Oryctolagus cuniculus: one gene and its partners. The protein of the gene in region 3 purifies or fractionates together with the protein of the main gene of each other region. This does not show direct contact. Links are inferred from orthologs where the notes say so. Each region holds a gene or a part of one and is shown on either strand. Other genes may lie near its edges.

Region 1 (4,361 bases), on a different chromosome or scaffold from region 3:
ATTCTGTACATATCCTGTGGGGGCAGCAGTAGTATCTTTTAAACAGTATTACCATAAGTAGTGTACTTCAAAATGTAAATTACCTTGTTTAAAACTGTGACTTTAACATTTGTATAATTAGTGCATATGGTATCTGCTCTCCATTATCAAAATAATTCATTATTAGGTAAATTTGGCTAGTAGGGAATACAGTTCTGTGAGCAGTGTTTCCTATTAAGTATCAACTGCTGTCTCAGTTACAAATAGCAACAGCAGCTCTGCCTTGTTGAGGAAAAGTAAATGCACAAAGTTAAAAAGTTAAAGACATGCTACAAATAACTAGTCATTATTCTGTGTATAAAAGTAGAGCAGAAATTAAACAGTAAAAATTTCTGTAAATTCTTTGTTCTCTGTAGTGGATTGCCACTTATACTCCCAACATGTGTGTACTGATAATCCTCTCCCACACTAATGAGTGGCTTTTCTCCCAGTTTTGGCTGGAATCTGCCTTATCCTCACCCTGTCTCTATACTACAGTGTCTGTTTAAGTGTTTACAGCTGGTGATGGAGTGAACCAAGGCCTTCGGCAACCAGGCGGTCAACCAAATGCTACTACAGGAATGTCTCGGCTCCCCACCCAGGAGACAGTGGCTTAAGACATCGCCCCATGGCAGTGAAGAGTGCCTCATTGCTCCACGACAGCAGGGGTGACTCTGAAGACGGATCGTCATCCCTCTGCACCTCTTGGATTTCTGGGACCAATGTGGTGGGCTGTGCACCACTCTGGGAAAGAATGCTGCTTTTATGCCCATCACTCGGGCCTAATAAAAGATAACATGACTGGCTAAGGTCAGGGAGGGCTGGCAAAACAAGAGAACAGGAGGCCTCTCAGGGGTGGTTTGAGTCTTGGTTCAATTCTTCTCCGTGGCAAGCCCCCTACTATCAGGACTCATAGGGCCCCTTGTTCTCCTGATTTTAATTTTAACCTTCAGCCCTTCCATTGTTAACAAACTTATACAGTTTATGAAACAGAGATTGGGCACCATTCAATTAATGGTCCAACGGTCCCAATATAAACCCTTCAATGTTTGTAAAACCTATAAAATGTCTGTCCAAAACCCATGATTGGGTTCTTCAAACATGCACAAAATCAATAGGGGAATGAAGAGCCAAAGTGACTCCATTTTAAAACAATAAAAAAAGCAGCCTCCGTTTCCCATAGCAGACCCAGGTCCTTGTGAAAGCAGGCATTCAGGCATCCCAGAGATATCAAAGCTTACCAGGGACAGCTAGCTCAGTAGATCAAGGACAGCACAGTAGAGATTGCTGAACAAAGTAACTTCCTGCGCCCAGAGCTCCTGTGCTGTCAGCCCCGGCTGTAACTCCCTGAACCCAAAGCTTCTGTGCTGTATGTAACTCTTTTCCTGCTGATGTATCCCTTTTTTCCTTTAAAAACTCTCCCAAACAAAGACCGGGGCCTCACTCCTTCCTCCGCTGTGCCAGTTGCTTGGATGGGGTCCCTGTCGTGGCTTGTACTCCCGAATAAACCTTGCTCTTGCAGTTCGGTGTGATCGACTCTCTGGGGGTCTCTGCGGGGATCTAATGATCTGGGCACAACACTATCTGAAGCCAGAAGCCAGGAGCCAGGAGCGTCTTTTGGATCTCCCATTGGGGTGCAGGAGCCCAACGACTTGGGCCATCTTCTACTACTTTCCCAGGCCATAGCAGAGAGCCGAATTGGAAGTGGAGCAGCAAGGACTTGAACTGATGAATGTAAGGGATGCCAGCACTGCAGGCGGTGGCTTTACGCTCTCTGCCATAGCACTGGCTAGTGTTAAAAGCTTCTTAAGTGCCCCTTAGATTTCAGGGCATTTCAAATTTTCACAGCAGTGACTCACCTTAAATACATTACTGAAGGTCATCTACCTTGTTGTAAAGATGCACTATGAAAATATGTTTGTAGATATCAATATTTTATATCAAGTTAACCAGAAATATTTCAAAATTTCAATGTTTTATAAAATTCATTCTTCACCAATTGATTAGAAAAAAACTAAGCATCTATTTTTATAATTAAAATCATTTTTTTCCCTCCAAAAATTAACGCCTTTGCTTGAAACTAAAAAGTTTGTATTCTTTTAATTCTCTGTCTGAAATCAGGATAACTTCTACTGAATTCATGTTGAAACATGTAAATATTTAATTTTTTGATATATGTATAATTGTATATGTTGTATTGTCAAATATATTCCTGAAGAAAAGCACTTCTACTTTGACTAGATATTGATGAGACTGAACCCTAGACTTAAATTTTATGCATCTAAGGATTGAAAGGATAGCTTGTCTTCACTGTCTACATACTTCTGGCAGCTCATATGATGGGACATGTTCTTATTCTGGAGGTCCTCCAACCTTGCACTTCAGTCTCATGTCAAATGAGTTGTCTTGGTGGTAGCAGTGTTCCCAGAAGACATTGCTACACTGAGACAGACAGCAATAACTTGATTATATATGGAAGTGCTTTTGAACCACATAACTTAGTAAACCCAAACAGTGTAAGCCCAACTCAATTTCCCTTCAACTCGATCCCCCAAATGTCACTGATAGAAGGATACTGTGGTAGAGAAAACTGAAATAGAGACAGCAATCCTAACTGGAATTAAAATATCACTTTTACAAATTCATAAAATATGCAGGTACTTCACAAAGTTCAAAGAAAGTGAATATCATGAAAAAAAAACCGCATGAATTTCAAAAAGATTTTTGCACCAAAATAAACTTACTTTGCTCTCTCCACAAATGATTCAACGTGTTTTCATAGTATGATGTTGGAATGCATTGTTAGGTCCTGTCTCAAGGCCTTGGAATGGGACAGTCAAGCCACAAACTTCAAGGTAGGTCTTACTCTCACATCCCGAAAGGGCAGCACAATTACCTCTGAAGTCTCCTCCCTCTGGGCTGTGTCTCACTCTCTGCACTTGCTGGCTTGTTTTGATTCTTTTCTATTACAAGGAAGTGGCTAGTTGAGCAGTCTTAACCTTTTATTGAAACAGGTGTGTCCAGCTAAGTACTTACAGTAAGTCAGCCGTTCACACACACTCCACTTGGGGGGTGGACCCATCCCTTTCTAAGTCTGCAACCAAAACTTCTGTGCCAGTCTGTCATGCTGTGCTGCTCAGAAGCAGGTTTCAGGTAGCACTCAAATATTAAGAAGTCTCTTTTTTATTTTTTTGTTTGAAAGACAAAGTTCAGAGAGAGACACAGAGAGAGAGAGAGGTCTTCTATTCGCTGGTTCACTCCCCAAATGGCCACAACAGCTGAGGCTGGACAGGATGAAGCCAGGAGCCAGGAGTTTCTTTCAGGTCCCCCAAGGACTGCTTTCCCAGGCTATAGCAGAGAGCTGGATCAGAAGTGGAACAGCTGGGACTCCAACCAGTGCCCATATGGGATGCCAGCACTGCAGGTCAGGGCTTTAACCCACTGCACCATGGTGCTGGCCCTAAGGATGCTTTTTCAATCTGGTGAATGAGTAGTAGCCTCAATGCATTTCAGGCCAATTGTTTTCTTGCTCATTTACTTCTAAGATGGTAAGAACATGTAGAATCCACCCCTTAGCAATTTTTAAGAATACAGATAAACCTAGAATCACTATGATGTATGATAGAAATCTTGAATCAATTTCTCTTAAGTGAAATTTTGTATCATTTGACCAACATCTCCCTAACCCATTTCCCTCCCTAGCCACTGGTAACCACCATTCTACTCTCTGCTTCTATGAGTTCAGCTGTTTTACGCTCCACACACAAGTGAGAGCAAGTAGCAGTATTGTCAGCTAATTGTTTCCTCCTCGCCACTGGGGAGAATTCAGGGGTTTCCACCAAGACCTTGTGGCTTTGCTAGCAGCTCCCGAGGTCTCTGCTGAGTCTCAGATCTTGAGTTCCTGCTCTGCTCATGTCCCACTTTTCGGAGAATGCATCATCAGATGGAGCACAGCATCTTTTCTTTGGTTTCTCTAAGTTGTTTCTTGCACAGTAGTTGTGTGTGTGGCAGATTGACTGACTGCACCCTGGAGATCCAGGCAGAGAGGAGGCTGAGTGCTGGGGCCAAGGATGGGTCTCACCAACGGACATGGCTGCAGAGCTCATAGTTTACAGTGTAGCATCACACATTAGCATTCTGAAAAATTCTTTGGCTGTTTCTGCCACAAGATATATTTTTTCCCTTACTGGCAAATGTTCCTCTCTGGTGCCCCTGTCTTCTCTGTCTTACAGGTAGTCTCTTCCCTGGGCTTCTCCTCTTCCTCTTACACAGTTTTATGCTGGCCTCCCTCCCCTCCCCCGGACTCTACATTTATCAGGGCTCACTTTCCTTGGCCAGGTATT
Region 2 (4,117 bases), on a different chromosome or scaffold from region 3:
TTTTTGGGGGCGTTACGTGTGCAGTGAGGTAACATTCACACAAGAACATTGCATAAAGTCAAGGACATATCTTCCCAGAGTGTGGGTCATAGACCAAGGCTACAGGTAGTGAGTTCTCTAAATGAAGGCAAAACCCCTAGAATAACTGGTGATTTCATGTTTAATCAAATACATGTCCTAAATCCAACACATGCTGGAGGTTAGGTGAGTTGGTGTGAAGAGAAACTTGGCAGGGCCTAGTCTGGCCCCTAATTTTATACCAAGGTCAATATTTTCATGGGTTTGTAGGTACCAAGAAAATTAAATTATAAAATTCATTATGGTATTTCTCATTCAAAACATACTTTTATTTAACAATTTCTACTTTGAAAACTGGGTCCATGCAGTTTTTACGCGCAAAGGGAACCGGATTCGTGGTTGCTGGCCCTGGCTGATCACCAGATATGCCCTGTGAGACTCTTCCAGTCTTACTCATTAACACTGGAGTAAGCACCTCCGACTCTAATCTTCCCAGGGGCTCTTGATGATCAGTACATACGGTAAATGCAGTTCAACATTCAAACACAAGTACCCCTCAGCTGCTAGCACGGTGCTTGGCACAGAGTAGGCCATTTTGACTGAAGGAATTGAAGACAGAAAAATGGGAGTTTCTGCTGAAGCTGCAGGTGCGTCCTGTTTCAAGGTCACTTATTCTACTCACCTTTTTCAGAGCTTCATGAAGTTCATTTAGGACATAAATCAAGAATTCCTGAGCATCTTGTTGTGTCTTTTTCATGAATGCTGGGTAGAGGTTGCCAAGAGCCGACCGAAATATTTCCGGTGAGACACAGTCTGAGTCTCCAAGCCACATGTCTGTCATCAGGTAAGCGAAGGCAGTGGCCACATCACTGCAGTCCCTTGAGAGGAAAAAACGGGCAGGTTTCTGGCTGGTTGAATGAAAAGAAGACCCCTGTCACTCAAGCCTGGAGAATCAGTCCAAAAACAGGGCTTCAATCATTTCCCAACTACCCTTCCTGCTTTATTCACCCTCGATGTGTCACTCATGGGGGGAGCTTCCGCCTGGGGAGGGAGGGGACCCTGTGGGCGGGGGTGGGCTGCAGGGCCCGCGGATGGTCTTACTTTTGGAGAGCAGTAATGTACTTTCCGGAGAGGAAGTACTCCACCAGCGGCGAGATGCTGCCGAGACACTGCAAGATGGCGTTCATGTAGCACGTGTTGCCCAAGTTCCGCAGGCCAGTGACCCCCTGGAAGTGGGGCTGGTTCTTTTCAGCCTCGTTAACTGGAAGGGTATCATAATGATCTGTGCACTCTGCACTGTGTTGGTGCCACGTGGAAAGCAAGCAAGCATTTTGGGGAACAAAATATATACAAATGACAATAATTTCCTCTCAACCTCATGAAACCAAGAAGAGTTCTTGCTAAGAGTCTCCCTCAAACACACTCCTACTAAGGACTTAAGCATGTGCACTTGAAGGCTCAAGTGGCATTATTTAGTCCAGAACTCAGAACAAGTGTGCGAAGCCATCCATATATAACAGAGAAACGTTTCTTCCTAAAACCAAAGCAAGAGAACTGAAAATATCAACCTTTCAAAGTCTTAGTCTTAGATTTGCTTGACTAAAATTGCAGACTTTCTTGCTGAATACCGAAGTATTACCTTTATGCTGCAAACATAAATAATTTTTGATAATAATAGTAACAATAGATAACAGTCAATAGCAATAGCTATCATGTTTTGAACCTGGAACTGTATACATTTTTTCATTAAATTCTTTTAATAATTTTACAGCGTAGGAACAATTACATATATATACACATATACATATTGAGAAACTGTTAGAAAATGTTAACGTGAGTGATCAAGGCTATCTTTGGCAGGAAACTGTGGAGTTAGTGCTCAGGTAAATCCGCTGGGCCCACACTGGGCGGTAGCGAGGAAGAATCCCCTCCCCATCCACGGCTTCCTTTCCTGGTTTGTTGCCAGCCCACCATCTTTGCCCTTTATGATTCTTCTTTCCAAGCACTGCCTCTACAGTTTGAGCTCTGTGAGACAGCTTCCTCACAGTACCTCTACTTAGCTATGTCAGTTTGAAAAGTGCTCACTGGACACATGGTCATTTTCATGTTTCCTTACAACGTCATGGGAAGCCCTGTCTTGCTTTAAGAAGGACGAGGAGGGGGCTGGCACTGTGGTGTAGAGGGTAACTCCACTGCCTGCAGTGTTGGAATCCCATAAGGCACTGGCTCGAGTCCAGTCTGCTCCACTTCCAGTCCAGCTCCCTGCTAATGCACCTGGGAAAGCAGCAGAGGATGGCCCAAGGCTTTGGGCCCCTGCACCCACATAGGAGAACTGGAGGAAGCTCCTGGCTCCTGGCTTCGATTGGCCCAGCCTTGCCCATTGTGGCCATTTGGGGAGTGAAACAGTGGATGGAAGACATCTCTCTCTGTCTCTCTCTCTCTCTGTAACTCTTTCAAATAAATAAATTAATTTTAAAAAAAGACATGGGTCTACTGCCTAGATATTAAATCTAGTCCCTTCCTTTGGGAGGACCTCGACCTCTGTGGGCCAAATCTGGGGGAACCTTCCCAAATGCGGCATGTACCCCGATTTCTTTGATGAGACTCTCCCCCCCACCCCCACCCTGGAGCTCAGGTGGAAAGCTGTAGGAGACAGAGGCTCACAGGACATAGTAGATACCGAAGTCGTCCGCAGGGAATGACCGCTGAGAAGTCATCGTAGTGGAACCACGCTGGACTCTGACATCTATTCAGGAGCAGCGGCTAATCCTTTCAACTTCATTTCTCCAAGTCCATTATGCCTCCCTTTGTCTGTTTTAAGCAATTTATATGCTCCTTCCGCCTTTCTGAAGCGGCAAACTGATTTTCCCCTGTATCAGGCACCACTGCAACTTGGATTTTCCCATGCATCACAATCCTTTCCATTCACCCCCAAGATTCTAGCATGTTGCCGTGAGACACTGTTATTAGGTTGGTTGAACTGCTTGGAAAGACTACACTGGACAGAATGAACTGCATGTTTATTTGAATTTTTTATTAAGACTCTTTTTTAAATAAAGATTTATTTATTTATTTATTTTAAATTCAGAGTTACACAGAGAGAGGAAAGGCAGAGAGAGAGTTCTTTCATCTGCTGGTTCACTCCCCAATTGGCTGCAACAGCCGGAGCTTCACCAATCTGAAACCAGGAGCCAGGTGCTTCCTCCAGGTCTCCCACGGGGTGCAGGGGCCCAAGGACTTGAGCCATCTTCCACTGTTTTCCCAGGCCATAGCAGAGAGCTGGATCAGAAGTGGAGCAGACGGGACTTGAACTGGCACCCATATGGGATGACGGCATTGCAGGCGGTGGCTTTACCTGCTACGCCACAGTACCAGTCTCCCCATCCCATGCATGCATGCATATGCACCAAAGATTTACCACCAGAGTTAGGGGGCGCTCTGGTGATCCTGCCCACTCTGAGCACACATTCCCCCCTCCTGGGGAGGAACACCCCCCACCCTGAGGCAGCTGGATGTTGCTGCTTCCAAATGCTTTGCATTGGGGTTGAATAGAGAATTTCCCTTCATGAGGGCTGGAGCCACTATCCTAGTGGTTAAAAGTCACACACACAGTTGCTCAGGCTGCACAAGGTATGAAGAGTAACCCTACTTTGACACCTGGATAAAGGATCCTGACAACTAGATGTGACAGCTCCTGCAGCTGTTTGCTATTTGTGGTATCTCTTTAAAATAGTTATTTACTTATTTTAATTTATTTGAAAGGCACAGAAACATAGAAACAGAGGTCTTCCATCTAATCGTTCACCCTGCAAATACCCAAAGCACCCAGGGCTGAAGCCAGGAGTCTCCCATGTGTGGGAGGTACTCAAGTACTTGAGTCACCATCGGGACAGTGATGTCTCTTGAAGTCACCTCGGGTGGCTCTGCAGCACTGCACTGATCCGAAGCCAGGAGCCAGGTGCTTCCTCCTTGGTCTCCCATGCGGGTGCAGGGCCCAAGGACTTGGGCCATCCTCCACTGCCCTCCCGGGCCACAGCAGAGAGCTGGACTGGAAGAGGAGCAGCAGGGACTAGAACCCGGCACCCATATGGGATGCCGG
Region 3 (3,477 bases):
TGGGTGTGCAATCCTTGGAGCTCTGTGAGGGGCTAATTTTCCTTATACTTGCTCCCTCCTTTAAGCACTCCAGGCTTCCGGCTCTGCCATAGGTGTGCTGTGTGCCCCTCTATGTCCCGTGAATTCCCTAGACTTTGCCACATGGACATTAATCAGCCTCCAGGTTCTACAGTGCTGTCCCCTTTGCAGTCACTTGCGAAGCCCTGGTGCCATCTTGGGCGTCTCCTTGTACAGTCCCACAGCCCACCCCTAGCCACCTCTTTAGGTCTCCAGCTCAAGCCACAGTTCCCTGTTTTACTTTTTAAAGATTTATTAATTTTATTTGAAAGGCAGAGTTATAGAGAGAGAAGGAGAGACAGAGAAAGAGGTCTTCCATGATGGCCCAAGTCCTTGGGCCCCTGCACCCATGTGGGAGACATGGAAGGGGCTCCTGGCTCCTAGCTTCAGATCGGCACAGCTCTGGCCCTTGTGGCCAATTGGGGAGTGAACCATCAGATGGAAGACCTCTCTCTCTCTCTCTGCCTCTCCTCTCTCTGTGTAACGTTGGCTTTCAAATAAATAAATCTGAAAAAAAAAAAAAAAGAGAGAGAGAAAAGGTCTTCCATCTGCTGGTTCACTCCCCAAATGGCTGTGGCCTCCAGAGCTGGGCCAGATCGAAGCCAGGAGCCAGGATCTTCTTCCTGGTCTGCTACGTGGGTGCAGGAGTTGAACCGGTGCCCATATGGGATGCCAGCACTGCAGACGAGGCTTTATCCTCTGCCACAGCACAGGCCCTCACCATTCCCTCTTAGTACGGCTGCCCTGGGCTGCTGCTGTGCCACCGTCTGTGTTGTTCTCACTTTGGCCAACAGAGGACGCAGCTGAGATGAGAGCCAGACCCCACCACTCCCACCCCTCTTCCCAGTTTCTTCCTGTCACAAGCTCATGGCTGCCTTGGTGGCCCTGCGACTCCTAAAGAGTCTAGCGCTGGTGTGTCCTGCACGTCACTCTGGTCTCTTGCTGATTCAGACCCACGCAGGCTTTGGGACTCTGCAGCCACTGCCTCTGCTTGGAGCACTCTCCTTGTAGGCCTGTGCTTTCTGTCCCCAGGTCTGCTCCCCCAGGCACCTCAAATGTGCTGCTGGACACAGGAAGCAACCCCTTTATCATTGCCTCACTCCACCCCTCAGCGTAGACACCACCTCACCTGCTGCCCTCCCCTCCCCTCCCCTCAGCATAGACACCACCTCACCTGCTACCCTCCCCTCCACTCACTCCACCCCTCAGCGTAGACACCACCTCACCTGCCATGTTATATTTTTGTTGTTTCATTACCTATCTCTTCCCCCCAAATGCAAATTTCATGAGTCTTGGGACTCTGGTGTCTGTCTTAGCTCAAAGGTGCATAGATGCAAGTGTGGCTCTGCGCTGCTCTCTTGTGCAGACGCAGCAGGGTGCGTTTCCTGCAGTAAAGGCAACATTCCCAGAGCAAGAGAAGGAGGGACCCAGGGAAGCCTGGTCAGGACAAAGCTAGGGACTCTGCTGTGGGTGAGGTCACTGGCCCAGTCCAAGGGATACTTGGGTCCCAACCTGGGGCACAGGCTTAGCGTAGATGATGCCCCAGCTGGGCTCTGCTTGCCCTGCCATAAGAAAACACTGCGGCGCTGTGCACTGGTGGCTTAGACACAGATGGTTATCTTCTCACACACCCCATTGAGCCAAAAAGCCCAGAATTCAGGTTCTGGGGAATTCAGTGTCTGGCAAATGTGTTCATGAGCTGCACACACACACACACACACACACACACACATGAGTGGGTCAGAGACAGAGGGACAGAGACAGACACACAGAGCCGGAGTCAGAGCAGAGACGCAGAGCAGCAGAGGCAGAAGGAGCCGTCTAGTGTCTCAGGAGGACTCCTCTGACTCTGGGGGTCTCCAGACCCTGGCCGGCCGTTCACACACGTCTGGAGGAAACACTGGATTGTGAGCAAATCAGGGCCGATGGAAGCGACACAGGACAAAGATCTGGCTCCTGGGGTCTGAAGCCCTGGGTCCGAGGAGGCCTGGAGGGCCCGGGCTGCCACAGCACAGCCGACATGTAGCTGTGAGGAGATGCTCAGAGGCGGTCATTGACAGGGAGGCTGCAGGCACCGAGTGCATGGGCACTGTCTGCGGCGGCTCCGGCCGGGTCAGCTGCCACCACTTGGCCTTGCCACTGTGTTGGTAGACGTGCGGGGTGCAGGTCCCGTTCTTCCCAACACAGAGGTTACCAACTCGACAGGGCCGCGTGGACATGCCGCGCTCAGAGCGCCATACCCGCCGAGCCGCCTCTGAGTACCTGTCTGCCCCGCAGGTTGTGTGAGATGTACTTCAACCCTGAGACGATCCACGCCTTGGAAACACTGCGGGAAGAGAAACCTGCATTGACTGTCGTTTTCGAGCCTTCGTGGTAGCAACGGAGCTGCCCCCCTCCCCGCCCACCTGTGCCCAGGTGCGCCCATGTGGGAGGAACCCTCCTGCATCCAGTGTCAAGACCACAGCTCCGCTGTCCCCCAGGTCCAGCTGGAGAGCCAGGGCTTGTGGTGGAGCCCTCACGTGGGGAACCCTGTGCCTCCTGCGCCCCTGGCAGAGATTCTGGGCACAGCCCCTATGGTTAGCCTGCCTTTCCCGATTTCCGCTGGCTTTTGTCACTCACACTCCCACTGTCTGTCAGTGGACTGACCACCGACCACTGCATAAAGCTACGCCCTGCATGCTGTCTTGTAATTGTGTGTCCACTATGTATTTATTTTTAATGTTTTGTAACAGTTATATTTTCTAATAAAGATTCACGCCTATTGTAGCTTGCTGAAAATTCAGAAATATAAAACAACCTTTTTGTATTTATTGTGTTAAATTGTTTCCTGTACTTAATTTTTAAAAACAAGTACCTTGAAATTTTAAAAATTACTTATCTGAACTAATAAAGATGAATTAATTGCTCTATGAATGTAAAAGGTCTTTTTGTTCAGGGCATGCATCGCTGTGCCATGGGTTAATCTGCCACTTGGGACTCCTGCATCCTGTATCATAGTGCCTGGGATCAAGGCTGCTCCACTTCCCATGCAGCTTCCTGCACCTGGGAAGGCAGTGGAAGATGGCCCAAGTGCTTGGATCACTGCATCCATGTAGGAGACCTGGATGGAGTTCCGGGCTTCAGGCATGGATCCAGCTCAGGACCTGCTGTTGCGGACATTTGGGGAGTGAACCAGGGATGCATGATCTCTCTTTCTCTCTGTGTTTCTCCTGCCTCTCTATCACTCTCCTTTCAAACAAACTTAAAGACAGCTCTTTGTGAAATGATTCCATGTGGTAGTAGTGGGGGAGTGTCACCTAGCTCAGCTGGGACGGGGGTGGAACTCCTGCAGGGGACGTTCGTGGCTTCGTTTTTCTGGAGGAGGTGGCCAGTCCTGACCCTTGCCAGTCCTGACCCTTGGCCAGTTTCAGTTTCAGCACC

What was found.
Region 1: the proteins of NLRP3 (region 3) and TRIM31 purify together in Homo sapiens (affinity purification with western blotting; 3 studies listed by BioGRID). This does not show direct contact. The link is inferred for Oryctolagus cuniculus from reciprocal best matches to the Homo sapiens genes NLRP3 and TRIM31.
Region 2: the proteins of NLRP3 (region 3) and USP50 purify together in Homo sapiens (affinity purification with western blotting; 3 studies listed by BioGRID). This does not show direct contact. The link is inferred for Oryctolagus cuniculus from reciprocal best matches to the Homo sapiens genes NLRP3 and USP50.

The regions. Positions count from the first base shown.
Region 1 is NC_091436.1:140,344,378-140,348,738, reverse strand, and holds the start of TRIM31 (E3 ubiquitin-protein ligase TRIM31), read right to left. Parts: upstream 2,937-4,361; 5' UTR 2,763-2,936; intron 1-2,762.
Region 2 is NC_091443.1:73,317,747-73,321,863, forward strand, and holds the start of USP50 (ubiquitin carboxyl-terminal hydrolase 50), read right to left. Parts: upstream 2,868-4,117; 5' UTR 2,736-2,867; coding exon 2,683-2,735; intron 1,315-2,682; coding exon 1,120-1,314; intron 927-1,119; coding exon 701-926; intron 1-700. UniProt on the Homo sapiens protein: Deubiquitinating enzyme that removes conjugated ubiquitin from specific proteins to regulate different cellular processes. Regulates the inflammasome signaling pathway by deubiquitinating 'Lys-63'-linked polyubiquitination of the PYCARD/ASC adapter protein.
Region 3 is NC_091437.1:1,764,949-1,768,425, forward strand, and holds the end of NLRP3 (NACHT, LRR and PYD domains-containing protein 3), read left to right. Parts: intron 1-2,334; coding exon 2,335-2,434; 3' UTR 2,435-2,966; downstream 2,967-3,477. UniProt on the Homo sapiens protein: Sensor component of the NLRP3 inflammasome, which mediates inflammasome activation in response to defects in membrane integrity, leading to secretion of inflammatory cytokines IL1B and IL18 and pyroptosis.